Linked DNA regions of Neodiprion lecontei. The protein of the gene in region 1 purifies or fractionates together with the protein of each later gene. This does not show direct contact. Links are inferred from orthologs where the notes say so. Each region holds a gene or a part of one and is shown on either strand. Other genes may lie near its edges. The genes, in order: UBX domain-containing protein 6, nuclear protein localization protein 4 homolog and tether containing UBX domain for GLUT4.

Region 1 (12,354 bases):
AAAAATTTATAAGATGCAGGTTTGTAACGTTATCCTAACGAGTCAGTTTTTGACATACTCCCTACTTCGAGAATTCAGGGTCAAATTATGTAAAATATAAATTCGCGATGCAATTAAGCATAAGCATCCTCTTTTCATAAGTGCTACCTGTACAAATTAATTATGAAATTGGGAAACATCTCTGCCAGTATTGCGTTACGTTAACGTTACAAAATCCAACCTTGATAGATATACATATACATATCGTAACATGCAATGTGCCGAAGTTAACGCAATAATAAAAAATATCTTAAGTTACCTGCTCTGACTATCTTCTCCACTTCAGAAACCTGTCCTTTCAATGGCTGAATGATGTGATCACCATTCGTTTCATCGTTCGATTGATCTTCGGTAACATTTTCGTAAGAGTTCGTAGGCGGTATTGTCGTTTCGTCCACCACTTCGGAGCCTGTCTGAAAATTTAATTCCCTACTTCAACCAAGGGGACTTGAAAAATACATCTTTCCCAGGCTGCTCAATACAACAGAACCTTAAAATACGAACTTGATGTTTCTAAAGCTATCAAGCGTGTGACACGGTTAGTTAGGGAATGCCAGGAAACTTGAAAACATAATCAAATAAAATTGCTCTCCTATTCTACGTTTTCAATTCTGATCGCATTACCTCGAGCGGTTCCGCATTACTTGGACCATCCCACAGCTTCGTTGATAATGGCGGACTTATCGTCGCGTTCGTTGTACTTAAATTCGGGCTTTGCACATCGCCAGTAACAGACAGACTTCCAATTTCAACGTTGGCGTCTGTTTGCGTGAAATTCTTAGCAACGTTTTCGCTTTCCGCCTCAGCATTTCCCTGTGCGTCTTCCTCGACAGTCGAAGGTTCGATGTTCAAAAATGATCTGTTCAAATATTAGAGGAATCAGAATAAAAACCTTCGTGCGATTATTATTCATTTTGCATTTTTTTTTCGCTACTTCTCTTTGAATATATGCTGTGCAATTAAATAGTGAGATATATTCGAAATATATCGGAGAAGACCTACCCATCTCTAGCTAAAATTCCTAATACGCTAGCGAGGTCATCGACTTTTTCCTGCCTCAACTTCTCCTCCTTGGCGTAACTCTTTTCTATGGTATAATCTTCAGCGCCATTTCTGAGGATCTCAACTCTCAGAATACCATCTCGAGGCCAGTCGTCTCTTATGTGTTCCAAACAGTTGGTTGGTGCTCGGGAAAACACTATGTGGATGTATGCCAGCACGAAAAATGACGTTATTGCCTGAAACGATACAAATTAACAATTTTAAACTGCAATTCATTCGGAGGCAAGCACGGGGGATAGCGCCGGGATGTAACAAGTATCTAACAACGGAGGACTCCGTTTGATAACAGCAAGTATTCGGGGAAGCATTCGACTGAATTCGAAATATCTTCGCGATATCTTTTTGAAGATCGCGGGAAGTAATACAAACTTTAAATAAGGTTTCGTAAATTTGCAGTTACCACTTTACAACGTTTTATAATTACAACTCCGCTACTGCTTGAACAACTGCATTCGCATTCTTCCCCGCTAACCCGATATGAAGTAATTTAAAAAAAACTGCGCACGTCTAGAATTCCGTCACACGACATTATCCAAAGCAGAAATCCGGCGAGTACTGGTTCTAATTTCCGTTATGTTCGCCGCTATTTGCCCAATTTCTCCGAGATCTCGCGACCCTTTGCTGAACTAACGCGTGCTTTGAATTACTCGTAAATACTTTCTCTGTTCTAAGAAATTCTACTTGAACGATGCCCTTATAGACATCTTTGAATAAACCCTTGACCGCCATCACTGCTGCGTATAGATCAATCCAATAAGTATAACCGCGCTCTGCACCTGCTCTTGGTAGATATGTGTAAATCGACGGAGTGGAAGAATGCAAACATTAAAATGTGCGTTCAAACTCTTGGCTGTGGGTTTTTTCATTTTAGTACACGCAAATTCGGACATCTTCTACGGAATATTCTCTAAAAATAATAATAATAATAACAATGTCTCAGAAACTGGCATGGAGATATTTCCACATTACAAGACGGAAGGCAAGTTTCGGAAGTTGAAGAAAAATTTCGAAACATGTAAATTATATAAAGAAATAGAATGGTTAATGTCGTACTAATATAATGAGAGTTACCTTGAGCAATACGATAAATTCAATAAATCGTCGAATAGGTCTGGGGAAGGCTCTGGCGTAGGCAAGGGCGGCCTTGATGAAGAGGGCATGAAATAGCCTGTCCCGAACATTGAATAGTGGATTTTGATTATTGTTGTTCCTCGCCCTGTTCATATTGTTATTATTCAAGGGCCCAATGGCCGCTGCAAGTCCGTGATTATTATCCGCCCCGACTATGCCGTTGACGGTATTAACTGGTGGAACAGGTGGCAGGGGCGGTGGTGTCGGTGCCGTCGAAGCTATCGACGAGGGTGATGATGACGATGATGATGTCGAAGGAGTAACAGTTACCCGGCTCTCAGGGTTGTCCGGTACTTCCGGTGGCGGTGCTGCGTCGATTTCTGACATTTTGCAATATTAAACGATTCGGTAATTATTACCCTCTTATCTTATCGTTTCTTTTATCTCTATTATTATCGATATTCTTATTATTCTTTCGTTGCGTAAAATAATTGTCAGTGTGTCGTCGTCGTCGTCGTCTCGGACCCCGTCTTTTGTCGCGTTTTTTAAATTATTTTCAAAGCCGACAACCAATCATCGTATAGGACCGGGTTGACTTGTTTCCCGCACGCTTTTTCGTCCGGTATAACATTTCCGACGATCCGGGGTAGGGAGCGTAGCTCCGGACACCGCCGGCGAGATGCTCCTGAAACAATGTTTGGGAAAGAAATGTTTCCCTAAAGTAAATCATATATTCACCTTATCGTTTAACAATTATGGCCATTGTTAATCGTCGGTAGGTACATCACAACTCCTCGGATTGCCAATGGATTAATATTCAATTCTTCAATGTGGTATTTTAATGAAACAAATATTTAAAAAATGTAATAAAAAAACCATTCGTCACATCGCGGCGATCACGTGGCAATGACAGCGCAGTATTAAATACGGATACAAAACGCACGCACACGCGTACACATAACTGCAGTGCTAACACTTTCCCGAGAGAACGTGTTATCGTATTTCGATATAATTTTCAAAGTATTTGTAAAAGAAAACAGGCAATAAAAGAACTGACTGATCGTGATGGGAAACCGAAGAGAAAAAAAATAAGCGCGGAGAAAGAGCGAGAAGGTGTATAGAGTCGAGGATGAAGCATCTAGACGACACCGCGGCAATGCATTCCAGTATCGAACGAACGGTATGTAATATGAAATATTTAGAAACGCGGAAGAGCAACAGACTGGTGCAGCTGGTGCTGCTGGTGTCCTACGAAAACCATAGGACAGCCCCGCCGCCGCTGATACACTGAATAGCTAAGTGAAGACCAACGTACGTTTCTTAGTTACGTAATTATCGCAACGGAATAATCGTCATCCATCGACCACGGGTGACTCTGCTATTTTCAATACCGCTAATCATGCAGCTATCGAACTGTCAACCACGGATCCGTGCGGCCTGGACTACGGAGCGAACCAGTCACACGGACGGACCTGCCTGCAGCATGCGGCGAGTCTTCCCAGCTTTTCGTACAACGAAGACAATTCGAGTCGTTTGCCAAGACGGAGGAAGTGCGCGAACAAGTTCTCGGTTGTGAGACAAGAACGGGGGAAAATTACAAATACAAATATTTACGTGCAATAATGGTGTGTTCCGATAAGCGTGCGACGAGAAGTGATGCCTATGAATCTACCTGTCCACCTACCTATCTACCTACCTCCACACACGTCACATACACGAGAAAACTGAGTCAAGTCAGGCTACGTACCTCCGCGCACCTTTCAGCCCTATGCCAGCCAGGTATTTTCGCTCGACGAGGTCCGCCGCACCCTCGACGAACTCGCTGTTTCGACCCTTCGATGTCGTCGGTTTTTATTACCCGCTATGCCGACGTTTGTACAAATTTTTGTTACAAATTTCTAGGTTCGTCAAAATCCTCGCCTTATCGTCATATGTTTTGACACACGACGCAGACGGTTCTCAGCAGCCTTGCCAACCGCCTTTCATCGCACGATAAAAAGTCCCCGTGGTTTTGGTGCTTCTTTTTAGAATTTTACTTTCTCTCTGACAAGTCGTCGACGCGACGTACTTCTATCGAAGCGGACTTTGCCGTTGGCTAATCGTGATTACGGTTGTCGATTCATGGGTTCTTCTCATCCACCAATTGAAATTTATCACTAATACCGGTGGCTGACCAGCCTGCTGTGGTCTGCGACGAAACAGTTTCGTTAATTCCCACCGAGGACGCTACCTATTCCTTGAGTCTGAGGTGGTTGCCTGTGACAAGGCGGACTTACGCGCTGATTATGATTTCAAGGTGCCTCGATATAGTATCGAACATGTGGAATAGAATTTGACATTGGCCCACTTCGTATTCATGCAGACCCATCAGTGGAAAAAGTTGAATAAAATTCTTTTCTACGCCGTTCTTACGAGTTGATATCGTGGGCAGTCTAATGATGGGTTGAAGAAAAGCGGTGTATAAATCTAGACCATTTGTAACAAGAGTATTCCTTGATGTTTCATATTTTTGATCCCAGCTTACATTAAACTGTAGTCTAATTGAATTACCACTCTTTTGAATGACGCTCAAGAAATTTTAGCCTGTCTAAATTCTCTGGTTCTACACGATTGACCGAACTGGGTAGGAGACAAAGTGTACAAGAAAAAATGATGAGCACATAGTACAGAAATGAAAATAAAACGTGATATTTATTCCAATCGTCTTTTTTTTTTTTCCTTTTTTAACAAGTATGGATTCAATTACAAAGAGAATATTTTGCTATCAATAGTGTACAATACCTGTATGTCCATAGTGTTGCATTTACCCCTGGCAATCATTCAGCAAAACATCCCGTTATTCGCATTATTAGGGGGGACATTTCTATTAAAAGGTATAATAAGACGTAAGCATGTCATAATTCGACGTCAGACAGCAGAGAATATTGTCTCCGTCTTTAATTGATCTATTCAGTTTCAAGTTTCTTTTTTCCCTTGCGTATTGATTTCAGTTTCATCGTCTTGTAGAATATCAAAAACAGAACCAAACCGTGTGTGAGACGGCGGAACGCGACGATGTCTACAATCAATCAGCACCGTGAGCACAATGGTCACCCATTAACTCATTCAAAATCGAAAATTTTGTTAATTTGTTGCATCGTTTTCTACCAATGTGTTAGAATTTGATTTTTCTATAGCTTGAACAATAACAAAGACTCCAAACTTCGCTTCGTGTGAAACTAGAGTGTCCGTGCTTACCATTGTCGAGTGGAAGGTGATGACGATAAAATCATAGCTCGACTAGGGTGAGGAGGCTTACGTGGACTGTATCAGGCAGATAATTTCTTCTTTGAGATATTCGGTGGGTCCCTTGGTATCTAAAATCTCCGTATCCCAGCTGAAATTCAGTATTGATGCGGGGACCAGTCTGTTGTCAACCAAGGTCTTTTCATAGTCTTCATTCCCGAGACGATGACCCGTCGGCGTTGTTAAAACGAACGGTATCTCGTCACTGATCAAATTCTCTCTGACAAATTCTACGACGTTCTCGACCCTTTCGTAAACCGCGAAGGTGCCTTGAAGCATTACCCCGTCCGGGAAACGCACCCGTATCAAGGCGTAACGGTATTTCTTCATTTCTCGCAATTCCTCTTTTTCCCGCATCGCCTTCGTACGGAGAATTTGACTCTTTGCTACCGCTTCAGACCTGTGCTATGAAATAAATTTTTGCCAATACGTGTCAACTGCTATATTTTCAAGCCAAAATAAGAAAAATAGTGGCGCACCTGAGCTGATGCTCCTTCTTAATCTCCTCCGGCGATATGGTGAAGAAAATTGGAGGTAATTCGTTTCTTTTCGCTGCCTGACTGGGCAGTAAGACTTGTAAGTTTCTGTCCAACTCAATTCGAACGGGCTCTGCCGTCCTCAGAGCATCAACCAGTATACCGACTTGCTCGATCGAAGATTTTTCCGGATTCCAAACCAGGAAGTCCTCTTCCTGTTCCTGATGCGCTAGTTTGACCATCTCAAACCCAGCGGCTTTAAACAGCTGCAAGGCACCCTCGACGGGCTTCACTTTGTCCTACACATTGAACAGGTATCGCTTAAATTCACGAAGAAATCATTCGATTCGGGTATCTTACATTGTTATTCCAACCCTTCTACACACCTGAAATACCCGATTGGACATTCGTATTTTCCAGTATTTCTCCTCCCCCGGATTATTGATGATATTTTCAAGGTACTTGCACATGGTTTCGACACACTGTTCAACCTTTTCTTTCCCGGCATTACAACTATGAATGATGAGGCAGGCGGTGAGTCCGGGCTCCTCGTAATTGAGCTGCTCGTAAAGGAACTGTCGAATCTTGCTCTTCCACTCGTCCCTGGTTAATATTTCGTCAGAAATAATCGGACAGCGAAAATAAACCCCGCGTACAGCGAGCAGCGGGTTTGCCTCGACCTCCTGTGGGATTTTCTGCTCCTTTGGCAGCGCGATTTCCTTTGCCTCATTACTCGCCGCTTTTCTCTCCGCCTCCAGTTCTCGTTTGACTTGTGCCTGGATAGCCGCGTACGATCTGCGAATAAGCAACAAGTGAGCAAAATTTTGGTAAACTGTTCATCCATCGTGATTAATGATCATGTAGGTATACTAGGAACGAAATCGAAATCCCTGGCCGAACTTACGTGTTGAACTTTGTCGGGTCTGGCCTCTTCGACTCGAGCCTCGCCAGGGCAGCTTGTCCTGCAATTTTAGCTTCTGTGGTTGGTTCCGCCCGCGTCACTGGCTTCACTGTTTCGTTAGAGTTCGATTTTGATGAACTCGTCGATTCGGTTAATCTGCAAACACGGAAAAGAAGAATATAATCTTAGTTTTCTTTGTAGTTGTGCAGTTCAAAAACTTCAAAACGCTTAAATGCCTGTCGAATAGAAAAAAAAAAAAAAAATTTCGGAGTGACTGACAGCTCTCTGACTAATTTTTGCAACAGTGAATACGTATCACACGTTTAATACTAACTTGTACCCCTTTCCAGCCATCTTAAATTTGGCATCGGATTTCTTTTTCTGGAAAAATGCTTTGATCTTGTCCGCCATGTTAGTTGTTTTCGGTTGGCACTCGATAAAGAGTTAGCTGGTGAATGATTTTCTAAACCCGCGGGGAATGCTCCTTGGGTAACTTCAATCGGGAGACGCTCTTCTTCAGTTCCTCAACGGCAGCAGAAGTCGCTGAAAGTTACAAATTTTCATTAACACACTCCAACTACCAATAAGGTGAAAAGTAATCTATGAGTACACATACCATATAGTCAGCTGTGTATTAATACATGCGATAAGAAAAAGCAGTGTACGAATTTAAAATGGGTCAAATATACACCTGGCTCTGCGAGGATGGCGTCAAGAGTTTTCGGAATCTCTAGACACATGGCTACACAGTCTTAACTGCATCATTTCTGTGGGTGTATAATTACATACTATACTTGTCGTTAGTCGAGAACTTTATGCCACCCGTGAAACAGAAGCAGATAATATGATCTACAGGAAAATACACCAAATTTGGAAATGTTTTGCATACTTGGATCTGGTACTATGTCTAATTTGAATTGCTACAATTTTTATGACTCTTTACAAAAGTTGTCTTCACGAATACTGAACGTATTTAAATTATATGAAATATTTCTTCATAAAAACTTTTCTGTTTCAGTAGAGACCGTGATGATACAATGAGTTTGGGGACATTGTAAGCTACCGCTGGCCGTTACGTTTAACCTACTGTTTTCAAATATGTCCAAGCATGACAGATATACGCCTATATTACCGTTGACCGCTGCTTTAGAATCCATAAGTCCTACTACGCGCATGTACATACATTGTATAGGCCCTCTACTGATTCAATTACTGCCGCAATTGATTACTCTTTAAATACCTAAAATATCCTTTCCTCTATTTTTACTCACGTTGAATTTCCAGTCGTTTACAAGATGTGTCGCATTCATTAAAACAGATGGATGATCATTTTCATTATTATGAACATTGTTATCTTTACAAAATTATCATTTCAAGTGGGGAACGAAAGTTAGACGAGAAAAGAAATCGATTTTTTCACACAGATATGTTAAGAATTTCAAGGTCGTTATAATATATACAGTGCAATGTACACCCAAGAGTACGACTATAACGGAAAGTTTTCCGCGAAGCTCAACCCCGTACGTCGTCCAAACAATCGATGAATTCTGCAGTCATTAATTAGGATGAATGCTTCAAGATTACTGCTTTCCATTTTATCGTGCACCATTATCAGTGCATCGTCTGTATAATTGTGACGCACAGAAGACAAGGAAGCTCAAGATAAGAATGTGCAAAAGTACGAAACAAACATTCTATTCAAACCGTTTTTCATGTGAAAATATTCAGATCAAGACTTATACAGGACAGTAATTAGTGTATTATATTCCTATAACTAGTTTACAACATAAATAATACTATATTCTCACAACTTCAAATAATGGAGAAAATGCATGCACAGAACTTTCCCTGCCACATGTATATTACCTACACCAGTGCAGTGAATGACTGTTAACTCGTCATACGTGTCCTGCACTATCGCTATCAATTTTGTGGTATTCTATGAAACCAAATTTAGTATGAAAAATAACATTTGTCGAGTGAGTAGGTTTTCAGAGATAATATGTTTGTGAGGTAGACAATGTTAGGTACAATCGTTTCGCTTCCTCGTCTTGAAGTAAAACCTGAATAAGTAGTTGTAATCCACACGTATGATCAAATAACGCTATGCACGTTGTATTGTTATACATTATAGCAACAACAAATACGTACATATGTAGAGGTGAAGGTCACATCTTGCATACAGTGCAAGCGTCTGGTAGCATTGCGTAAATGCAGTGCATAAATGTAATTCGTAAGATGATCCCGAAATGAAACGACCGAAACGATTCTGGTCTTGTTAGGAGGGTATACTTATCTTACCTTCCGTGACAATTACAATTTGCATTTGATTGACGTGCTTTATAACTAAAGTATTCGAAAACGATTTTATTCCAGATATTTTTTTCACTCTGCCAAGTTCTTCGGTGAAAAGAAAATTGATTTAGTGTGCCTACTCGAAAGGATAAAATTGAACGGCAATATGAACACGCTGAAGTTCGCAAATTTCAGCATAAATACGTTGCAGCGTGACCGAGCTTGTTTTTAAATTAAAAAATGGAATGCCCTCTATATACAACACAAATCCAGACTAATGACACTGGATGATTGATCACGGCGCACATTAATTAAAATGTGAAACTAAGTGTAAAAGCATCGGCGACCGTTACCTGCGAGGTTACTTAAGACACAACAGATATACCTGAACGCAGGTGCAGGGAACCAGTCTGACCAGACTACTGCAATTCGTAATGCGTGGATCAACGAGGTTGAAGTTAGCAACGTTATCGTGACGAAACGTTGGGGAAAAAATGCCTATTTTCGTAACTTTACAACACTGATTATAAAAAAACTGAGATTTCGAAAAATGAATGTTTTGTTTTATTACCGTTTAATGAATTTCCGAAACTTCCAAAATCGTGAAATAACGGTTTTCCCTCGGCATGAATCGTCACGATAACGTTGCTAACTTCAATATGATATAGATGATAGTTACGTTTAGTTGATCCCTGGTGTGACGCAATGCCACGAGTCTGCCAGTACGCAAGTATGCATATACGCGTGAGAAGAGAAAAGGTGAAAAGAAAACGTGACCAAATCTGTCAAATCTGTTTTTCCTGGCTGACCTGGTTTCATGAACCGATCGGATATCCGATCGCCGTAAACGTGCCAAGCAACGTATATGAGGGCGACGTTGCTGACGAGGATTAAGGCGAAGAGTTTGAAGAGCTGGAGCTGAAACTCGTCGAAGGCGAGCCAGGCGGAAAACTCTTGGAAAAATTCAAGTAGCGTCTGGTGTTGTTGGCCGTATGCGTCGTTTTCGTTACTCGCCGATGTGCCCGTCGAGTTTGAGGTTAGCAAGCCGAGTGTCGCGAGTACGAAGCTGGCCAAGTCGCAGGCGATTGTATTGATTTCGTCCAAGAGTGAACCGCTCCCAGGAGCCGAGTCCTCGCATAAGCTGATCATCACACGCGTCACCTGATCATCCCCTTTCGTTCTCCTTTTTCTATTTTCAATTTTACTCTCCTTTTACTCCTCCTCAAACCCTCCGAGTTTCCTTGACACACCGACGATTTTTATAATCCCGACCGTACGGAACGGGAATTCGGCCGCACGTGACTTTCAATTCGTTCACGCCTATCCACGGTGGACTCTTTACCATGACTGAACACTTACCGACAACACGAGCGGCGTCCTATCCCCCCTCCCCCAGAAAACTCTCCGACACCACTGACATCTAACAGCTCTCGATCTAACGATGCTGTCTTCGTTCAGCGAAGTTCCCGGTTCCGTTACGACCAGTCGGTAACCGACGGATCGTCATCCGACAGTTTTTTATTTACCTCGAACAGGATGAATACCTCGGATTGGATTTGACAATTGGAAGTCAGGTTGACCACGGCAGTGCCGATGATGACAGCAAAACGTTACGAAATCATTTGCCCCCAGATAGCGGGTTCGAGTTATTGGTTACCCGTTTGAAGTTTAATTCAAATAAATCGGACGATATTGGAACGACTTTTCTCCCCATTTTTACTGATACTATACTAAAACTGATGTAAAAGAAGAAATATTACAAATGGCTGAATAACTATTGGAGTACCTTGATATATTTCGAATTCCGAAGACCTCGGATTAAAAGGAAATTGAACAGAATCGCGACTAATCGATTAGACTAATCTATATTGCGGTTTTTTTAAATGAATATTTGGGTTGATACAATGATTTCGAATTGATCTGAAAAAAAATTGAAAATTACAGTTATTCGGAACTTTTAGCGTCAGAAAGGGAGAAAGAAATGAAGGTTTAAACCCATGGTTGAGCCTCGCGTTGTAATATAAGATGACACATCTCACCAAATTTTAATTAGAACACACGGCGCAGCGTAAGAGGAGTAATGGGATAGGAGAATAACTTGTATAGAAATTTTCTTACGAAATAATGCATTTTATACAGTTTGCATTACGATATAAGTATATCGATTATAGGTATTAACGTATAAACTTGAATTAAGATTAATAAATATCATGAACTACGGTACAAACGGTGATGTATTAACATTGGATTAAAATCACACGTGATAATACTACGAATATGATTACGATTAATAATACGTTTTGTTTCCTATAATACTCCTCGAAACGAGCCGATCACACTCTTCGTAATTAGCTGCCAATTGCATTTAGTGCGTGATTCAGCGTTCATTCGGCCATCGCGTAACGCCTACTAATCTTGCAAGAAGATTTCTGAGGTGACAAACGGAATTTCTTTAGAAATCACACGTGAAGCCTACAGCGTTTCACGACGAGAATGTTTAGTACGTTTGTAAGTATTTACGGCAAGACCGCGTTTTCAATCGTTTTTAACGTGAAAACTTGCGGTAGCACAATAGGCGATAAGCCGATGGCTCGTGGCCAATTTGGTCGAATATCCCACAAGAAAGTACACGAAGGATAAGGCAAAGCGAAATGAAAAACGATCGCCTTTGTCCGAATATTTCGTAACCATGGAAATTCACCCGAATGCCCCAAGTTGACATCAAGAGTGCTGAAGGAGTAATAATGAGTGAACCTCGGAATCTTTCTTATTTTTCTATTCTCTTCTCACACGACGCACTTTCCATTAATTACATTTTTTTCGATTAAATACTAATAAATCATATCTTCACCGTATACATGGAGCAGAAATAAACGTATAGGTTAAATAGATTATACATAGTGCATCGGATGTAAAGTAGAATACATATTTGTTTCTAAAATTACGATATACGCTATATTTGATGTATTTTCATACACACACACCATAAAAACCACAATTCGCAGTCGCGTATTTTCGTTCTTTTCTTTCACTTCTCTATTTGTTAACCAAAGATTATGTGATATTTATTATGTACACTTACAATAATTAGAGAGTCATGGATCCACATCTACCGAATAACCAAATGTATCGCGGTTACATACACTCATAACCGATCGACGAAGTGCGCATAGAAAAAAATCAGACCACCAATAATTTCAATTCGTTTCAACCTCACAATCTTTC
Region 2 (9,823 bases), on another chromosome or scaffold:
ATTTTTTCTAGGACGTAAAATCTGGGCCAAGATCAATTCTGGCGAGTCGAGAATTTTAGCATTGTTTTTTTTTCGTCGAATCTTTTCCTGTCAATTTCATGTATATCACACTTGGAAAAAAAGTTATCCGCTTTCACCGCGACTTATTACGTGGTGCTGAGAATTTTTCCCTTGCATAAGGTAAGTTACTGGCGAATGTGGTAAAATAAAAATAGTAAAAATACAACTTATTCAACTAACTGTTTAGTGAAAACGGCTAGGAAAGCCAAGTTGTAAAAATTTTCGGAAAGATCATATGTTCGGTTCACTTTTAAGCGACACGAGTCTTTTACTTGATATCTTTGTGATCCCTGTGGAGCGAAAATTACCTTTTCTTTTCCAATGTTACGAACACGTCGTTTAAATCTGATTCTTAAGTCGATAGACATCAGCTGGACATTCATAACTCCTACTTTAAGATTCAGAACTTCAATTTTAGTAAAAGCGTGAATATTGCTGAGAGTGAGTAAAATTAATTGCGAGCATGCCGTGCCAGAGGATAAAGAAGCTTTGTAAGCACTGCATGTTTGGCGGCACCATCGAATGCCAAGATTGTTTGTAACTATAATTTACCGTCCACGTGCGCGGAAGGTAAAACTGACAAGATAACATGCACCCGTCACTATCGTAAAATGCAATATGCAATTCGCGAAATTATTTGCATTTTAAAGCAGTATTTAATCGTTATTACGTCACCAACAATGTACTCCGCATAGAATATTCTTTTTTTCTGAAAATAATCGGATTTTTGCAACTAAGAAGAGCTTGTTGTTCAAATTTTTCCGCGTTGTAACACTATCTCGTAGCTTGTTTATCGAATCAAAGGAATTACGGCAAATGGCACGCGTACACGAATTTCTTCGGCCTTTACGTCACATTGCGAATAAAGCGCCAGCTTATATAAATCGAACCTAGTTTCTCGCGTAATGTATAGCTATATTATTTCGCATTTCAAAAAATTTCGCAAAATTTGTTGCCACAAATTATTTGTACGCTCATAACGAGCGAAAATTCAAATAACGATTCAGACATGACGTTTACGTAGGTTGCATGAAATTCTGGAATCAAATCAAACGTGGAATTTTGCCAGGCCTTTGTGGTCGTACGGTTCCAAAATATTGTTTTCAGGAATTCGTGCAGCAAATAAATAACTTATAGGGGAAAGATCGCGTCGCGGTAGGTGAAAAATATTTGTTTCCACTCATTTCATCATTTCACCCACTACACAAGCCTGCCGGAATTCACAATATTTTTTTCATGCAATGATTTGCAGTTAATTTATCAAGGTCTGTGAGTAAAACTTGAACGAACTATAATTCCATTAAAATCGAATACTACGGTATCTTTAATCCACATTCAATCCATAGTCTATTATTTGTCATTCAAAAACACCGAAATACAACAAATTGCGAGGTAGTTACAAAATTTGAAACTGCGTGCTCTAATCGATCGATAAAGTATCCCGTTACAAGAGTAAATCGGGATTTGGGGAAGATGGATCTGTCAAGTATAGCCGGTGTATGATCAATGATCTATATTATAAAACAAAGAGGAATATGTATAGAATAACTGGACGCAGTTTCCGAAATGGTAAAAACCCCCTCAGTCACGATCTTAAACAAGTAAGAGAATCTGTACAATGTTTGATAACAATCTTTATACTGACAAAGAATGACACCGTCATTAATCAATCGAGTGACATACCTTGTTCGGTGAATATTCGAGTTCTAACGAATTATGAGACGAAGATGATGACGATGACGATGACCTGAGAATGATTGTCACTCGATGATAGTGTCAGTGATGGCGCGCGATGAAGTCCGGTTTCTTATGGTATCTACCCCCGAGTGCAGGTGGTGTACAGTGAAAATTAAGGAATAGTCTTGGGACTGAGCGTGCGCTGACCCTCCTGGCAACGGATGAAGCCAGTCGGTGCAGTTCGCAGGCGGCAGACCTGTTGCCGCGAAGACGCGGGGCGAGCTTGAAAGGCAACCACACTCCACCGGTACCACCCGACAAATACCATCTTTCCAGAGAAATAACAAGGTGGAGAGCCAAGCTGCGAAGTAAAGGACGGTGCGGTTACACACTCGACACTTCCACCTGCCAACCCACGGTATTCTTGGGGCACAGAGCGTCGCTCCGATTCCCTACCTACATTTCTCTCCCTAATAATAGATCCCTAGTATTTTCCACTCTCTACATACGCCTCTTCGTTGTTCCTTGTAGACAAGGGTTACCTACGCGCCACTCGATGACGGTAGCGATCATCGGGATATAATTCCACTACAATCGCAAACCAGGCTTTGATCTTCCCACTTCGCACTAATTCGCTATTATAACGACGCGTAGATTCGAATTTTGAATTGGAAAAACTGGGGTGACCTTGCGCGTAGAAAACCTTGCGTCTTTCTCTTAAGAAAAGTAAACGCGTCACAAGTATAATCTTGCACACATATATATATTATATGTGCGGGGAATATAATACGCAGCTACGTCTGCGGATGGGATATCGGGAAATGTTCTCTGTCGCAATCGCGTAATTTCAATTATATGTGGATAAAGGAAACGACGAAAGTTCAATTTTATTCAATTAAATTCAAGTATGCAAACATGTTTCATGTTGTTTACCGAATTACAAATTTTGAGTTTCGATATTGACGTAGATCACTTATTTCGCATCGGTATATTAATGATAGTTAGACACGTGGCGGATACATGTCTGTTGAATCGTAACAAGAATTTTATGGCGTTATATAGCTAGAAGTCACGAGGTATTGTATACGTATATAAACGCCTGAGCGAGCGCAATACGGCTTGCAAAATTGGCTGACAGGTTGTTTGCGTGCAGGAGTAATGACACAATCATTCATGAACTACGTCATAGTGTGATGTAGGCGAGTGGTGAAATTTATATTTTGGATCAGTAACGAAATCTTTGAAGTTCTTTTCGGCCATAGCGATAGAAACAGAGATAAAAAAAAGATCGCGTGAAATGGTTTCGTCATTCATTTCCATTGTGGTTTAGGACTTCATTTTTTAAACCAATTTCTTGCGAAGGATCGGATATTTAACGAGAAGACATGAGAGGTAAAAACACGTAAAGTCACATTTAGTAACTTGCAGGAGGGGTGTTTGGTATAACGGAAAAGTACGAAAGTCGAAATCTCGCGGTTACTAAGTGTTTAGCTTAATGATCACGCACCGCAGATAATGCGAGATGCATAGAAATACAGGACAATTTGTTTTACGCAGTTACTTCATTTCAAAACATTGACTAATCATATTATTATACTTGCCAGTATTAAGCTTAAAAACACCGTGCTTTATACAACACTAGCACAACGTGAAAACAAAAATAATAATAACAACGATTATAATCCAAATGTGAAATGATGTATAGAGAATAAAGAGGTAACTCGTTAATGCCGGACACATCCTGACACCCAGATGAACTATTAATTAACTGCCAAACTGATCGATTGTTATTCTTATTATATGTGTTTATTTTTATAACACAATATGCGTACATGCAATTATAATTACGCACGCAATGATCATACAACATTACACACAAATGTGCATACATGTGTGTGTCAATGTGTTGTCTATGCTTCCGTCTATGTATACACAGAGTAGATGTAACATAAATATAGCCGTACTATGTATACAGATTCTTAAGTCAACGTGTAGTGCAACCTGTTTAAGAATGTATCGGACCGGGTGTACAGTCTAATCGGAAAACTGTCCGAGGAGAGAAAACGAAATTAAACATCCGTTTAGAAGGTGCGACTGAAACTGATGTAGTTGAATTCGACGAAAGACGAATATTCCTCTGACGTAGAAGAAAAAATTTCTTTTTTACGAAATCCCGCGAATTTGAGTCGAAACGTCTGATTATCAGCTGCACTTTCGTGCAAATTTTTTTGGGGAATGCTTGATATAAATGTCTCATAGAATTCATTATATTCTTCAACGAAGCATAAATTTATCGTTTTCTGCTTATCAATGCAGTTTTGTCAGAATATTTTTTGATTAATTAATGATAATAATGAAAATTGGACAAAAGATTATATAGATTTGGTATAGAATGTTGCGATAATAATAATATAGATATAGGGTTTTTATCATTACTGCGTGATGTCGAGAGGATATATAATCTTTTCAATCAATTTCAAATTTATCGTTTAACTTCGCAGTTTAAGTTCGCAGATTTGGAATCTAATTTATTACGAGGTTGAAGTTGGTAACGTTATCGTAACGGAACATCGTGAAAAACTTCACTACTTCGCAATTTTAACACGAACTTGAAAAACTAATATTTATCATAAGAGTTATATCTTGTTTTGTTAAGGTTTACTAATTTTATACTATACCATGGTCACGAAACAACAGTTTTTCGCTAACATGAACCGTTACGACAATGTTGCTAACTTCAACATGATAATTTATTATATTTCACAGTTTTTTGTTTTCAAATGTTTTTCGACCAGACTGTACCGCATACTATACGTATATCGACGTATCCTATTCCATTCCTTTTTTTTCCCTTCTCTCTATCGACTAAAATACGCGAATGCAGATTCGCAGACTGAAAAATATATTAGCTGGCGATGATTTTCTATGAGAAATGGGGTGAAACGGCGAGAGTTACCGACGAAAATTCGGATCATCTAGAAGAAGCGGGGCCCTCCTCTTTTTATTGAGCCTGCACGCGGCTGGTACGCGAGTGTCAGTGGCTCCTTGACGACGAGAATAGAGTCGAGTCGTCGACTCGGGTGAAATATCTCTCAATTTATCGTTTAAAAAGTTGTTGCGCGCGGTTAGGCAGAGGAATATTAACCGATTATCGTGGACTCTGATGAACGGCGATAAAATAAAGGGGGTAACGTAACTGGTTATGTGCGATCGCGAGTGATAATTATAAGTACAAAACTTACCGTGTAGTAATACTTTAGCGTAGAGAGGTTATGGGCACGTAAGGTTGACTCGGCAGTTTTTCCACAGCTGACTAGGGATTTTGATCGGGCTTTGTTAACACAGGCAAGCCTTGTGGCAGCGGGCTCGAAACTCTCTCTCGAACAGCTGATGCTTCTGGAATACCGGCGAAATGTCAAAATCAACGCTAATTGTAAGTCTATTTGAATCCGCACCGTCACCTATGACTCAAACAACCGACAAATTAAGTCGCCCACTATACCGATAACCGTAGATATTTATTAGCCGTAACCTTTTCATTCCCCCCGACCCACGCCGCGTTTTGCGCCTTTGTCATTACCTACGATGGGGAAAAATATAATACGTACATGTCTATGCATATAATATATGTATAATACATTGTTGAAATATTCAAGAACAGTAACGAAAGTATTTTCTTCTCTTTTTTAACCTAAAGGGAAAAAATACTGTTAATTTATTTCACTGCGATGCTAATTACTTTCATGCAACCCCTTATTTTGTCATTCAATTTTCAGACTCTCAGAGTTCAATCACCCGAAGGCACCAAACGGATAGAAGTGAGACCGACTGATACAGTCCGTGATCTCTTTGAAAAGGTTTGACTTATTTGGCAATTTATTTTGCAAAAGAAATTACTAATAATAAGGTATTTTGTACTTCTGCTTGTTATTTGTAAGAGCAGATTGCAATTCTCATAATTTTTCTTTACTCGCAAATTCATTGCAAGTTGTCGCTGTAAATGCTAGCCTTTGTGACTTAAAATAAGTGAAACCACTGGCTCAAGTTTGTGCGTACAGTTTATCATGCTTGAGCTGAGAGCCATCTATTGTCGGTAAAGATAACACATTTTTCTCTAGTCATTGTTCTTGAAATATTTTTTAAATACTGTCTATTCTAGTGACGAAGCAATGCGTGATTCAATGATAACAACAGATTTGGAAAGAACTGGTCACGATTTAGTTATTGAAAACATTATACAGCGAATCAGAGTTTGCTTAGAAGTACTTGGATTAATGATGTTGTCTTTACGGTGTCACCATCAATTCAATTCTCATGTTTTAGGTACATGATACGTTTAACTTGGACAGCTTTAGTTTTGGATTATATAAACTAAAAAATCACAAGGATGAACTCGTATCTTCTCGAAGCAAAACAGTCCTTGGAACAGGATTGTCTCACGGCGATATGGTCTACCTTGTGCCCCTCAATGGCACAGTATTACGGCCACAGGATGGACCATCGACTAGTAGTGCCTCCATAAATATTCCTGCCGGTAATCTTCACTAAGATGTTATAAGTATAAATTATAATAATTGCCAGCAGTACTTTGGTATAACTTCGCTTGATGTAAACTGGAAGCTCGTCGCTGTACAACATAGTTTAAGAATTTTTAAACAATCAATACAATGGGTGAAGAATAGATTTGTTATACTTGCTCTTATTTGTAGGACTTATAGTTAATATCGATCGTCGCACAATGTAAAAGCATTTTGAGCAGTAAGTTAAGAATGAATTTTTCAAGTACTAAATCAGATTGAAGTTCGTAACGCTATAGTAATGATGCATCAGCAGTAAACCGTAATATAGCATTTACAAACTCAGATCTTGTGAATTCAACTCCTCTAGTTATACCGAAACTGTGAAATAGTTAATTTTGTTTCAACATTTTGTTATGTTAATGTTACCAACTGCGGCCTCATAACATTCAATCCTAATAAGGTTAACTGATCTTAGCAGAACCAATGCCGAGTACGAGCAGATTATCGCAGGGATCTATGGCCATCAATTCATCTCGACCTCTTGCCAGTGTCACGGAAGATGAAGTAGATCAACAACTGTGGAAGCTTGATGGCAAGATACAGCAGAAGCGTGACGAGAAATTGTGAGTCTAATGTATGATTATCATTCACATCGCCTATCCGTTTGATTCCTTTTCTACAAATGTACCCCTGAGCGCTCAAAGGTCAATTTTGAGAGATTAGATCGACTTTAAGTGAAAAGAAATTCAGAAATTTTCTAAGTTAAGACGAGTACTCGATTAATATCTATTGCTATTCATGATCCTAATATTTACAGATGCCGCCATGGTGCAAACGGGTGCTGCGTGCACTGCTCACCATTAGAACCATTTGATGAAGCATACCTCAAGGAACAAAACATCAAGCATTTATCATTCCACTCGTACCTCAGAAAGCTCACAGCTGGGGTTGATAGGTATGTCATTACGTAGAGAGTTCGATGTTGAAGTCAAGCTGTGACACTAAAAATATTTGGAAGTCATAATTATAATGTTACAACTGATAGAAGTAAGTGAATTTTTAGAAATGAAACGGCATTATAATTTAATTTAAAACTTATCATCTTTCACAGAGGGAAATTTCTTCAACTGGAGGACATAAGTTGTCGCATAAAGACAGGCTGCAAAGATCACCCACCATGGCCTCGTGGGATTTGCAGTAAATGTCAGCCCAACGCTATCACGTTGAATCGGCAACAGTATCGTCACGTTGATAACGTCATGTTTGAGAATGCTAGTCTAGTGGAGCGCTTTTTGAACTACTGGCGTAGTACCGGACATCAACGTGTTGGTTACCTCTATGGTAGATATGAAATACACTCAGACGTACCCCTAGGCATTAGGGCTGTAGTTGCTGCAATATACGAACCTCCACAAGTAAGTTGTTCAATATTCGTAAGAACAATTCGAATGATCTTCGACTTTAGTAACATATTAAAGCTCTTCAAATCACAAAACTTATATTTATTTTATCTACAAATGGCTTATAATTCCTCTCAGGACAGCACGAGAGATACTGTATCTCTCCTACCAGATCCAAGACAAGAATTAGTCGACGAACTTGCTCGACTTCTTGGTTTGCAAAGAGTGGGGTGGATATTCACAGATTTAATTGCTGAAGATGTCAAAAAAGGCACGGTACGTATTGGCTGACGTCCAAGCTTTAATTTTCATTTTGAAACAAACGCCGCGACAAGATCTGTGGATAATGCGTTATTCAAAAATAATTAATTGCATATGAATGTGTATTTTTCCAGGTGAAACACGTCAGAAATATAGACAGTCACTTTTTATCAGCACAAGAGTGTATTATGGCAGGATACTTTCAAAACCAGCATCCGAATCCATGCCGTTTTTCACCGAGTGGTTATTTTGGCTCAAAGTTCGTCACAGTCTGTGTCACAGGTAATGTATAATTATTAACAATATATTAATCAGAGTGTTTATCACGCTTGCTGTATTATTCGGTACAATATGGTATAAATTTACTGCAGTGCACCTCCTAGTAAATCAGAGCCTTTCGTTTTACATTGCAATCAAAAACTGTTCTCAGAATATTCTTTACCTTTTCCTTTGATCTCCAGGTGACGATAAGAATCAAGTGCACATGGAAGGATACGAAGTCTCTAATCAGTGCATGGCATTGGTACGTGATGGGTGTCTAGTCCCAACCAAGGATGCGCAGGAGCTTGGCTACGTTATTGAGTCCACAGATAAGCAATATGTTCCTGATGTTTACTATAAGGTAAGTGACAACTTCCTCTTCTTTTGAATTGCCCTTATTGAATTTTATGAAATGTTGTAAGGTTTCTTGGGTGGGTAAATTCAATTTCAGCTGTTTTCCAATATTCGTTTAAACAATAAAATAATATATATGGAGTGAGAAATTAATTGCGGTATTAAGTTTCCGTCACGTACTTATTTTATTTTCAAACATTTTTTTTCGCGCACATATACATTGGATGGTTCACATGTTTTACAATGATGAGGTCGTCTAACATTAATTTTTATAATCACCGTTTATTCTCGTTAAAAAGTAAATCGCCAATTACAGCATCATTGAAATGCTCACAATCCTTCGGTTATACGATCTTCAACGATTTTAATAACATGTCTTTGTGATATTAAGAATTTTCTTACCACGTAACTTAATTATTTCCAACGGTGCTATTCGAATTCGTTTTACATTTAACTTTTTTTTTTTACCATCGCATTTATACGTATATTCTTTTGTATACATATATTTATTCATATTTCTGCTGCTGATAACAGTGGCTATATATTCAATTTCAACTACTATTTTGAATTTCTCAACTACTGCGAGCCATAAATCTCTAATCATTCGTTGCAAATTTAATTCACCACACACCGTCTTGTAACATCCAACACATTCAGACAGTCGTATGATTTGGAATAGTAGAGAAATTGAAAATTTGTTATCAATTTCGAAATTCTGGAAAGAGGGAATTTCTTGGAATAAATGATATACTGTTTACACCCTCTTACCTGAAGATCAAACATTCACATTTCAATTTCCTCTATAATTATGATCTGCTTTTATAATCCCTATGTGGCAAGTTTTACTTCTCCCATAACAAGCTCTTAATTATCTCTTTTCATATTCATTATCTTCCATAGTAGATTACAAATATACTTTTGCCGCAACGAGCTATTCGGTTTTTTTAACTAATACAGTAATAAACCTAAATTTGAAAATATAAAACTAAAAGTTGGACCAAGTGAAGTACTTGCATTGTTAAGAATGGCAACAGTTTATAACTGGAAAATGGTCGATTAAATCTACAGCATGTCTTAGGTAACAATTGTTTACCTTGTACATATACAACTATTATTATTTTTACTAATTTGGTTCTTTGATTCATGTTACCACAATTAGACGAAGTGGTAAACGTACTATTTCCTATAAAATGTATAGTTGGCAGAGGAAATGTAAAAAAACAAACAATTTAATTAACTTTTATAGATACATATATGTATATGGGGGAAAATATACGATAATTTACAAAG
Region 3 (10,427 bases), on another chromosome or scaffold:
TTGCCAACCTTTCCCAAGGCTGCGAAGGGATCTGCTTGTTCCCAAGAAATAGGGGCTGGAGGACGAGCTTTTTCAGGCAAGCTTTCCGGCACAGCAACCAATATAAAGAAAACATCTAGGATAGCAATGGCTGTTGCCAAAGCAACGGGGAAATTTTGTTCGTAAACTTCCATCAGGTACGAACCGAGCGCAGGACTAATTACCATACTAGCTGCGAACGTGGCAGACACCTGAAAAACAGAAAAATTAATCAGTACGAAATATTGAATGCTGAGCAGTATACGTGAATCAAACAAAATCAAAATATTCTGCCCCTTTTTGGTTTTAAGCATCAAACTTTTTTATTTGTGCCAACAGCACACGACATGGATCAGATTACGAGAAGATTGGAAGTAACATGACGAGTGATGTTGTCTGAAGTTGCAGTAGATTACAGAAAAACATATGGTTCAAGCTATATTTTGATCAGTGTTAGATATTGGACATTCATGCCTTTCTTTATCTAATCAAAATGAACGCAATCTAATCCTTATATGGCCAATGTGTCACCAGCCTAGAATACAGAAAACGTGTTGAGACACAAGTGGACTTATAGGGATATTAATGCTGCTGACTAAGCAAATTCCAATCTAAGATTAGCCAATAATGACTGTTGGAAAAAAGACTCAGCAAGTTACACGTGGAATTTTATCGCCAGATTTGTTAATTTTCGATGTGCAGATATGCGCGAAAATACTTACCAAACCGTAAGCCAGAGAACGTTCGCTCTCCTCGGTGACGTCAGCGACGTAAGCAAAGACAACCGAGAATGTGCAGGCAAATACTCCGCTGATTGAAATCATGGCGAAAAACCACCATGTATTTATGCTCATGAGTGGTATAGGCGCACAGGTAAAAGCTACAGTGATAAGCAGGAAGAATTTCCTTCCCCAAACGTCGGAGAGCGCGCCAATCAGTGGAGCTGAGAGGAACGAGAGAATCCCTTTGATGCCCATTATCAGACCGTTCATCAGAAAGGTATGATCGGGAAATGTCTTGTTGAGAACGGCAATAATGGGCATTGTCAGCAGTCCCCAGGCAAAGAACTCCAGGAATATGACGACAAGGGCATGATAAACGCTGGCTTCGCCGATTCCCGAACTCTGAAACAATGGAAATGTAAAGAAAAGTTAGAAAATTAGAAGATATTTATCGGCAGGATGCTAGCGATGTCAAATTCTTACACAGCTGTGACGAAAAACTGAACAGTCGAATCAAATATTTGCACAACTGCCTTCTCAGTGGGCGGCGCTGCTCGTTAAGCTATACAAATTTATACTACCAGCTGACCTTGAGATGTCTGTAGCAACGCTGAACGGGCGATAATAAGGGTGGAGGCTTAGTCAGCGCTGGCTCCTGGCCATCGTGAGCTTCGGAGCACGAAGGGCCCTCCGAGCCCCCGTCTGCACCAGGGGGCATCGCCCCTGCTCGCCCCTAAGTTCTCAATAGACGCATCTGCTCATCGACGTGATTTTTTTTTAAATCGAACCAGTGTTCTATAATGTCTCAAAAAAGACACCTAAACCGTGCAAGTTTTTCAGAGCAGTAAATACCTCGTTGCGTGCCGTTTATTGGCCAGGAAAGACGTTACTGTTGGAGGTATCCAGTTTTTCTGTATGCTCTGAATTAATTTTATTCGCATTTTCATTGATATATAAACTTGATCATAATGTTCGTTTTGTTGAAAGATATTTGATTATATATATCACCGTATTTGACGGACGGATTTATAAGTGTGCCCTGTATTTACTAAGCTAACTAAACTTATTCGCACCAGTGTTCCTCTTAGGATCTATTGAAAATTAAATTCAAACAACTTGATAGATTTATTAGAGTTACGAGTTGTAAACTTTTTCTTTTTCACTGTAAGAATTGCGTGCAAAAACTAATCGAATGTCAAAGACTGTTGAAAGTAGTCTATTGAGGTTTGTTTGGCCGCTGGGTATTATATTCTACATTACATCAGTGACGCAAATAAAATTCTTTCCAAAAGTTAGAATAATTGTATTACGACAGATGTACTTCTTCCTTGGCTGGAAAATAAAGTCGCGTTTTTTCTATTCCTATGCAAAATTACTTGTGGATGTGGAAAAGCGATGCACCGAGTAAATATATAAGGGGAAAAATATTTTTATACCAACGTAACGAGGAGGGAATCTATCAATCAACGTAAGTCATCACACACGTTTCAGCACACAGTTGGTGAGAGTCAGATATTGCTAAAAATACACACGCAGCATCGGCTGAAGGCCTGTAAATTTTCGTTTGATTGAAACGCGCTGGTCCATCGACTGTGTCTCCGAAAATTGGTGAGCGTCAACTGGGGAGGCGCGATGTCGCGGTAAAACTCGGTAAATTTTTGTCGAGGACCGTGAGAAACACGCTCGAAAATGCGACGACAATGCCGATGATATGCGGTGAAACGCGAATACACGGGGTTACGGAATCCTCGAATCATGAGGCCGTGGCGTAACTTTTTCGGCGAACGGAACAAATTCTGACGAGCGCATTTTAAACTGACGTCTGTCAGCTGTGGGCCAACGTCAGTCAACGAGTTGTCAATAAATCTCGCCCGGTAAACATTCGCCGCGTGAGTTGGACATTGCGTCTTAATAACGGCGATTTTCCTTCTTTCCTTCCTTCGTTCGAGAAGAGGGCGAAGTATCGAAGAATTTTTTTACGCAAGAGCACCACTACTGCGGTAGCATTCCCAACCCCCCTCCCGCCGCGAAGCTGGTGCCCAACTACCCTGCTGCGGCCCCATCATCGGGATTTTTCGTACGCGCATGATTTCTTCTCCTCAGCCGCTACTTGGGGGCACAGATATATCAGGCTGAAGTTAGTAACGTTAACCTAAGGAAACCTCAGGCTAAAATGTCATCGTTATTGGGTAATTCAAGAATGACTTTCAAGGAGATGACTACAAAATAAAAATATTATGTTTATAATGGTTTATTACATTTCGGACATTTCTGAAGAGGCGAAGTAGCGATTTTCACAAGCATGTATAGTTACAGTAACAATACCAACTTCATCCTCATACAGATACCGCAAACGGGTTATGGGCATAGCCTGTTTGCGGTAATGTAAATACGAAGATCATCTCGGCTGATCGACCAATGCCTCGGGACGATTCCAGGGTCGCCCGTGTGTGCAGGACGTCAACGCGATGGTGATTCCAGAAAGAGTGGGGAAACCGCGGCTGGGTGTTGGATGAGAATTAAAACCCCTCGGCCACAAGTCATCGGCAAGGTTATGATGATAACACGTATGTAATATCGTCGCTATCCTTGACGCGAATAACCGCATTGCAACAGGTAAAACAGCGAGTTGAGGTGAGTAATGCGGACAGGTTGCTGGTTGTTGGTTGGCAGGAAAATAGGGACGCGAGATAAAGACTGGGACTAATTAGACTTGGAAAAGCTTGTCGCCGTACAAGATAAGGGAATATTTGTACACGGATCTATCGTTGGACGCGCGTCGCAACTTGACGAGCAAGTACGAGAACGATGCTTCAGCGTCGAGACGTCGCTGTGACGAATGATTTTCCGAGGATGATGAATCTCTTGGTTTTTTCTTTCCGTCTGTCACCCAGCTTGCCGATACCTCTCAACATTAAAGGAAAAAACCAATTGAAATACGTACCGTGATCACACCATCCTTCATGATGGATTTTCGACTCCTGATTATCATCCCGACGACCTTCTTCGACACCTTAGCGGGCATACTAACGCACTGCACGCACCAGCTCTTTCGCTTTTTCAATTTCATTAAAAATTCAACGTTTATTCACCACATTTTTTCAATCATTTATCGTCGAGTACATAGGCCCGACCTATTATTCAATGCACTCTCATGGCGATATCAGTTCAACTGAACTTCTAACTTCAGACCATGCACCTACGGCGCCGCACATTTGATTAAATACCCGTCATACAGATACACCTAGCGGGATTATCCTCAATCCGCTGGCGCAACTCACATCTTCGTCCATAGATTATTCAGTCTCAAGAGATGGGAAATCGTAAAAAGTGAAAACTCAATCAAATCTCCAATGAGAACTAGCTTCGGTTAATTAGCCAATTTTCACGTTGTCATCCCTATTATGTTTCTAAACGTTTGTACGGCGCAAGTTTCACCGTTCAAATAACCCAAATCGGCTTCGTCGTTACCGATAGTGGCGCTATGTAAAGAAAACTAGCGAGCGTTATGACGTCATGCAAGACCGCGCGCAAATGCTGAGGAATGATTAAGCAAGACCGTCAGCTGTTTTCGAAGAAAAACAAGAATGGCGGCAAGCAAAAGTGTCATTGTGCTCGCGCCGAATGGTCGCCGACAAACCGTGAAAGTAACGCCAAACACGACAATATTGCAGGTATGATTCATTTCTTAAAATTTGTTAAATCAACGTGATCACTGATATACAACTGATCCGATCAATTATTCTGTAGATACTGGAACAAGTGTGTCAAAAACATGGCTACGAGACCGAGGAATATGACATCAAGTGAGTCTCACCAGGATAACTATGCTCCTTTCCATGCCTGCTTATGCGCCGATCCCTGAATATTTTGCCGCCAAATTATATCTCAGTCTTCGTCAACCCTCAGGCATTACAATCGCGTTCTCGACGCCAATGCCATCTTCCGATTTACCGGTTTACCGAACAACGCTCAACTGGAGATGGTACCTTGCACCAAAAAGAGACTTGACTCAAATGTGACGGTCGGCATTCAAACTGAAAGCGGAGAGCGAGTGACAGGTGAATTTCAGCCCAGTAATTCCTTGGCTCAAGTTCTGAATCAGCTGTGTCCGGAGCAAATGCTACCAACTGCAGCTCTTATCTACATGCATCGCGAGGTTACATTGTTACGCTAGTTTTTCAAGCCTGTGTAGCCTGTCATTGATCAACGCTCGATTAATAATTAAAAATCTCAGGTCTGCGGGTTGGACCTACTGGAACAAACGACGCTCAGATCGCTGGGACTGAACTGCGGCAGAGCTATGCTTAGATTAATTCATCGCGATCCTGAGCAACCCAGAACTCAGGCTCATGTGTCGGCTCCTTTGGCTGCAAGGCCATCTCAAGAAAGCATTGACTTGGCACTTCGTATGGCTGAAACTAATCGACAGACAGCGGCATTGCGGAGAGGCGCACAGAAAAATATAGATCCCATATCAGCCCTGAAAACAGGAAAGACTGCACAGCATCATACACAAGCTTCAGTTTCAGAAAAGATCCCAAAACTTGATTGCGATCTGAAGGTTGAAGAAAAAACGGATGTAACTGAAACTGAAAACACAGGAATACCGATGGATACATCTGAGAGTAGTATAGAAGACACAAAAGTTGAATTCGTAAGATTCTAATTTTTCTTTTCTCTCCGCTTATTTTTCATTTCATTATATTCGCAGCGCAAGAAATTAATTATTGATAATTTTTAGCTGGGAGAGAGAAATGCCCTAGTGTTTAATCAGGCTGGAGCAGAAGCCTTGCCACGTAATGAATTACCCGACAACTTTTTTGACCTTACTGTCGAGGATGCTCGGCACTTACTGAAAGATGCTATCCGCCTTAGAGCAGAGCTGGATGAGGCTCCACTTCTAACTTCAGCTCAGAGACAATTGGATGAGGACAAAAGGATTTTGCATCATTTACATAAATATCGTAAAACCGTGATTAGAATTCAGTTCCCAGATCAATTGGTACTTCAGGGCTTGTTCGGCCCGCTTGAAACAGTTCAGGCAGTTAAAGAATTTGTAAAAATTTACCTGGCCAATCCTGACGCCGAGTTCATGCTTTGTAAGTATTTCTGCATACCTATATTTCTCTTTTTGATGCACTTCTTATGCAACTGCAAATCGTATTACATAGTTTTAACGAAACAGATACAACACCTCCACGCACTGTACTGGATCCCGGTGCACGGTTGGTCGACGCCAATCTAGTGCCCTCAGCTATACTTCACTACTCTGGCCAGTCTAGTTTGAAATCTGAACTAAACAACAAACTTACCGATCCCAGAGCTGCTGGTATTCAAGCAGTAAAATCTAGGTGAGCAGAAAGAATGGCTAGTTGTTTCGCCACAAATACTTGAATAAATAATAATGATGATAATTTAATCGTTAGAATGGCAATGGCGCGGAGAGGTGTGGACAGTTTTGAGAATGAGGATATGCCTGACATCAGTATGGCACAAGAAAAGAGACTGGAAAGGGTAGTAGAAACACCAAAGCAATCAGAACCCACACCTGGACCGAGTCATAGAAACCTTGCACCTGCAACCAAAGCTAATGTACCGAAATGGTTTAAGCAGCCGTTTAAATAATCATTGAACCTTTTCTGAGATATCCTGGTATGGAATACCTCATTGAAGCAGTATGACTGAATAATGAGTTGTCAGTTACGTGTTTACTATTGTTATCTATTATTAAAATACAGCAAGAGGAAAAGCTGTTATCCCGATTTTTCATGTTAAGACCCTGTAGTAGTCCTGCTTTTACCGTCCGAGCAAACTCATACCTTTTCTTCGTATATTAAATAAACAGAAGGGGTTCAAGTCTCGACGGTGCATCATTCTTTCGTAGCGGAATTCAGGAATGTTACTCGTATTCCAAAAATCATCAAAAACGTGATTTTTTTAAACATTTTACTATTTCAACATTTCTCGCATCTCAGGGGCCAAAAAGTGCATGGTTGAGATACTTTCCGCAATTCCGGCAAGAATGAGAAATAAAATGAGACATCGCAAGACTGCTTTCATGCAATATTAAGGCCGCTCAACGAAAACTAGGATTTACGGTAATTTTGTAGATAAAAGACGCTCTCATGCTGTGCTGGGGCGACCATACCAACCAAGGAACTTCGCGCCCAGCTGATCGCTAGAGCATTTTTTATTTACGAAATTATTTGTATCCCTAGTTTTCGTATAGCGACTTCAATATTACATGAAAACAGTCTCACGATGGCTTATTTTAGTCCTCATCCTTTCTAGAATTGCGGAAGGTATCTCAACTGTGCACTTATTGGCCCTTGAAATGCGGGAACTGTTTAAATAGTAACGTGTTTCAAAAAACCACTCATCTATTTAATGCTTTTCAAGATATGAGTAACATTTTTGAATTCCGCCATGAAAGAGCGATGCATCGTCGAAACTTCAAGCCTTTCCGTTCATTTGTTGATTTAATATTGGAAAAAAAGGGATGAGTTTGCTTGGTCGGTAAGGGTAGGCTGTCACAGGACCTTAAATTAAAGATTGAAATGATTTTTTGTAACAATACAGTTCCTCACAGGCCTTTGTAAAACAATAAATGATCTTCAAATTTATCACATGCAAATCATTTTATATTTTAAATATGTCGTACGGAAACTTATATTGATTTTGTTCCTGTAGGGCTGAATTTGCACAAGGTTGTTAAAGAAATTTTTATCATGAAGATACGTACAATTCTACGGCCTAGACTATCAACAGACCGTATGGCCTAATGGATAAGGCGTCGGACTTCGGATCCGAAGATTGCAGGTTCGAGTCCTGTTACGGTCGAGGCAAGTTTTTTAGTTCTTCAAACAGTGTTTTCACACAAGTAAATTGTGCAGCACATTCGAAAAATTCAGATTATCGTTTCAAAATCGATCCTGCAAATCCTAAAAGATTCGAAGAAGTTTGTTTTGCAAATCGATGAAAATTCAAATTATCCTTGAGCGGATGTCAATTTATCGCGCATTTTTTCAGCGTTCTATTTTCATTTTTAACTCTGCCCAGTTTCGAAATCTATTCTTTGCATTTGCAAGCATCATTCTCTGCAGTCAGTTGGTCGAGATATGATTTTTTGCCATTCCGTGCATCTTTAACGCGTGCGTGCAATTTGCGTCAGTCACGTGCGACAGCTGACAGCTGCATCTGCATACCACGTGACTATTGCCGGCGCTGCCGTAGGCTGAATATCGAATGAACCGTTTCGATCGGCCACCCCTGCCCTTCCTTATCGATGCAGCTGCGTCGTGACGCACGATGCAACGGCTCGACCAATGAGAAAACGCGGAGAGATGACCAATGGCAGACTAGGCTAGGTAAACGTTATGGAAAATGTTCAAGTCGCTGCGGCTGACGAAGTGACGACGGAGGAGGCCATATTGTTTTACTGCAGTGTTTGTTTTGGTGCTGCGGTGGCCAGTCTTAAAATCCAGTTGAATCAGCCTGGAAACTTGTCGAAAGTCTTCGACGAGACCGCTAAACGAAAAGGGAATACTGTGCAATTTGTAGTACCGATATATTTTCGGGAAATAAAACGCCTTTTGCGGTTCCTCGGCGATTTTTTGGTGTCAGTCGCGTACGAGACTGTGAAGAGTAAAAATGGCCTGCGCCACCCTGAAGCGATCACTCGAGTTCGACCCCGTTCACAGCCACGTAAGGCCTTCGAAGAGGCGAAGATGCGTACCGATGTGCATGTCGCCAAACACACCGCCGGCGAGGAATCAGAACCCATCAGCTTTCGGCGAAGTTACACAAAAATTGACGCCTGGTAATTATATTCGGCCATTTTTTTTTTTATCACGGGGTGTTAAAGGGGGAAGCTAGCTGCAAACGTAGATGTATAGCGATTTAAAACCCGTATATACTATGGCCGGAGGCGTGAAGTGGGGTGAGGGGAGCGCAAATCATATGGAGATACCGACGTAACGGTCGCTGCTGATTTTCACTATTTTTACAAACAGCTTTCAAACTGGTTTTCCTCCACTCATCGCGCAATTTGAAATATACGTTAGAATGACCGTTTTTCTTCACAAAGTTTTTTCTCATTCGACAATTCCCCTCATCACCTCGGTGTTCAAACGCGCTTCTATGTCACTAAAAAAAAATTCCCCATTGTGTGAGTTTTGCGTACCCAGGCATTATTTCATTCAATAATGTCGAAGTTCGAAACGGGAGAAAAAGGACCAAGCCGAATCGTATGTTTGTAATCTTCATTTACGTATTCATCAGACATAATATTAGCATTTCCATGCTCAGTCTGATGCGTTACCACGAATCTATTGAAAATACCCATCAAAATTCGACCACCGTAAAGGCAGACTATTGCAACTTTACTATTTGCATAACTGTGAAAATTTTGAATGAATGCATGGAGTTTGTTACTCAACTTGTACATTTACATGAGAACTAAGCCTTCTTACTAACCTCTTTCAGCCATTACCAATAACTTGGAAATGATGTTGCAAAGACCTAATATTGTTTCGGTTTTCTTATTTATTATTTTCAAGTAATTTCACAATCCGTTATTTGAACATCATCAATCAAAACAATGCCTGGTTGCAATTGTGATTGCGATCCGTCAGGCTTGGTTATTCAGTCTAAGAAACTGAGGTCAGGTATCTGAATTGTTTACACCAATGCCGTAAAATGTTTTCATAGAAAAAATGGCTGCCAATATTAGAGAAGAGATCCGCAGGCTTCACCGGCGCAAGCAGCTGCATTTCAACCCGCAAAACAACAATGGTGGAGATTCTTCAGATACTGAAGGTCCAGCCAGTCCATCGACTAGTGGGCCTAGTGCTTACAGTCATAGCCCAAGCGGCAAAGAAAAACCACTGTTCACATTTAGACAGGTGGGTGTATTTTCAAAATAAAGAATGAATGGATATCGACATAATTGTGAGATCGTTTATTTGCTACAAATAATGGTTAACCAACTTGTGTTTAGGTGGGATTGATCTGCGAGCGGATGCTGAAGGAACAGGAGACGCAGATCCGAGAAGAATATGACCAGATTCTCAACATGAAGCTCTCCGAGCAGTATGACGCATTCGTTAAGTTCACCTATGATCAGATTCAGAAGAGATTTGAATCTGCGGCTGCACCGAGTTGTGAGTTATTGAATACTTGGAAACTTGTAAACTTGTAAACTCCTGATTTCAAGACTGGTGACTCACATGCATTGTGTTTTTTCTAATGTTTGATAAATTTGTAGATTTGTCCTAAAGGAGATTTGCCACTTCCACGGATGTGTTTCTTCAAAGAACGTTAGGTAAGTATCCTAGCATGTATATTCTGTAAAGTTGAATCGTGACTTTACATGATAATCGTCTAGGTAATGCGGCGAATGATTCAATTGTTATTGTCAAAAGATACTCTAGTGGTTTTCTCATTACAGATTTCTATGATATAAGTGAGAAAATAATTTTGCTTGGAGTTATGAGGGAAGAAATGCGCGGTGATGTTACCTCGCTGTGGAGACATGGGTTGATTAAATTTGAAAAGTAATTTCATTCGAAGTATAAAATAAACAGATGCAACAAAAAACATAATTAAATAATTTAACAAAAATATCAATAAATAAAAACATTTCAAAAAAGGTAATGAGGTGTGCGTATATATATATATATGTGT

The links.
Region 2: the proteins of UBX domain-containing protein 6 (region 1) and nuclear protein localization protein 4 homolog purify together in Homo sapiens (affinity purification with western blotting; 3 studies listed by BioGRID and IntAct, with this or other methods). This does not show direct contact. The link is inferred for Neodiprion lecontei from reciprocal best matches to the Homo sapiens genes UBXN6 and NPLOC4.
Region 3: the proteins of UBX domain-containing protein 6 (region 1) and tether containing UBX domain for GLUT4 purify together in Homo sapiens (affinity purification with mass spectrometry; 4 studies listed by BioGRID and IntAct, counting the BioPlex papers as one, with this or other methods). This does not show direct contact. The link is inferred for Neodiprion lecontei from reciprocal best matches to the Homo sapiens genes UBXN6 and ASPSCR1.

Annotation. Positions count from the first base shown.
Region 1 is NC_060260.1:40,954,561-40,966,914, forward strand, and holds UBX domain-containing protein 6, read right to left. Parts: upstream 9,948-12,354; 5' UTR 9,809-9,947; intron 9,434-9,808; exon of another isoform or gene 8,106-9,433; intron 8,044-8,105; exon of another isoform or gene 7,853-8,043; intron 7,378-7,852; 5' UTR 7,246-7,377; coding exon 7,169-7,245; intron 6,991-7,168; coding exon 6,838-6,990; intron 6,729-6,837; coding exon 6,320-6,728; intron 6,233-6,319; coding exon 5,937-6,232; intron 5,858-5,936; coding exon 5,467-5,857; 3' UTR 4,845-5,466; downstream 1-4,844. Other genes in the region: membralin, read right to left, coding at 299-452, 664-898, 1,042-1,277, 2,173-2,559. UniProt on the Homo sapiens protein: May negatively regulate the ATPase activity of VCP, an ATP-driven segregase that associates with different cofactors to control a wide variety of cellular processes.
Region 2 is NC_060264.1:8,317,246-8,327,068, forward strand, and holds the start of nuclear protein localization protein 4 homolog, read left to right. Parts: upstream 1-5,082; 5' UTR 5,083-5,149; coding exon 5,150-5,170; intron 5,171-5,513; coding exon 5,514-5,594; intron 5,595-6,060; coding exon 6,061-6,271; intron 6,272-6,732; coding exon 6,733-6,880; intron 6,881-7,074; coding exon 7,075-7,212; intron 7,213-7,368; coding exon 7,369-7,672; intron 7,673-7,795; coding exon 7,796-7,933; intron 7,934-8,052; coding exon 8,053-8,200; intron 8,201-8,379; coding exon 8,380-8,540; intron 8,541-8,694; exon of another isoform or gene 8,695-9,823. Other genes in the region: uncharacterized protein LOC107222111, read right to left, coding at 369-443. UniProt on the Homo sapiens protein: The ternary complex containing UFD1, VCP and NPLOC4 binds ubiquitinated proteins and is necessary for the export of misfolded proteins from the ER to the cytoplasm, where they are degraded by the proteasome.
Region 3 is NC_060263.1:15,145,399-15,155,825, reverse strand, and holds tether containing UBX domain for GLUT4, read left to right. Parts: upstream 1-3,999; 5' UTR 4,000-4,327; coding exon 4,328-4,414; intron 4,415-4,490; coding exon 4,491-4,546; intron 4,547-4,649; coding exon 4,650-4,899; intron 4,900-4,977; coding exon 4,978-5,397; intron 5,398-5,484; coding exon 5,485-5,842; intron 5,843-5,928; coding exon 5,929-6,094; intron 6,095-6,169; coding exon 6,170-6,368; 3' UTR 6,369-7,366; downstream 7,367-10,427. Other genes in the region: hippocampus abundant transcript 1 protein, read right to left, coding at 9-230, 741-1,142, 1,330-1,458; akirin-2, read left to right, coding at 8,394-8,562, 9,453-9,646, 9,742-9,904, 10,009-10,019. UniProt on the Homo sapiens protein: Tethering protein that sequesters GLUT4-containing vesicles in the cytoplasm in the absence of insulin. Modulates the amount of GLUT4 that is available at the cell surface. Enhances VCP methylation catalyzed by VCPKMT.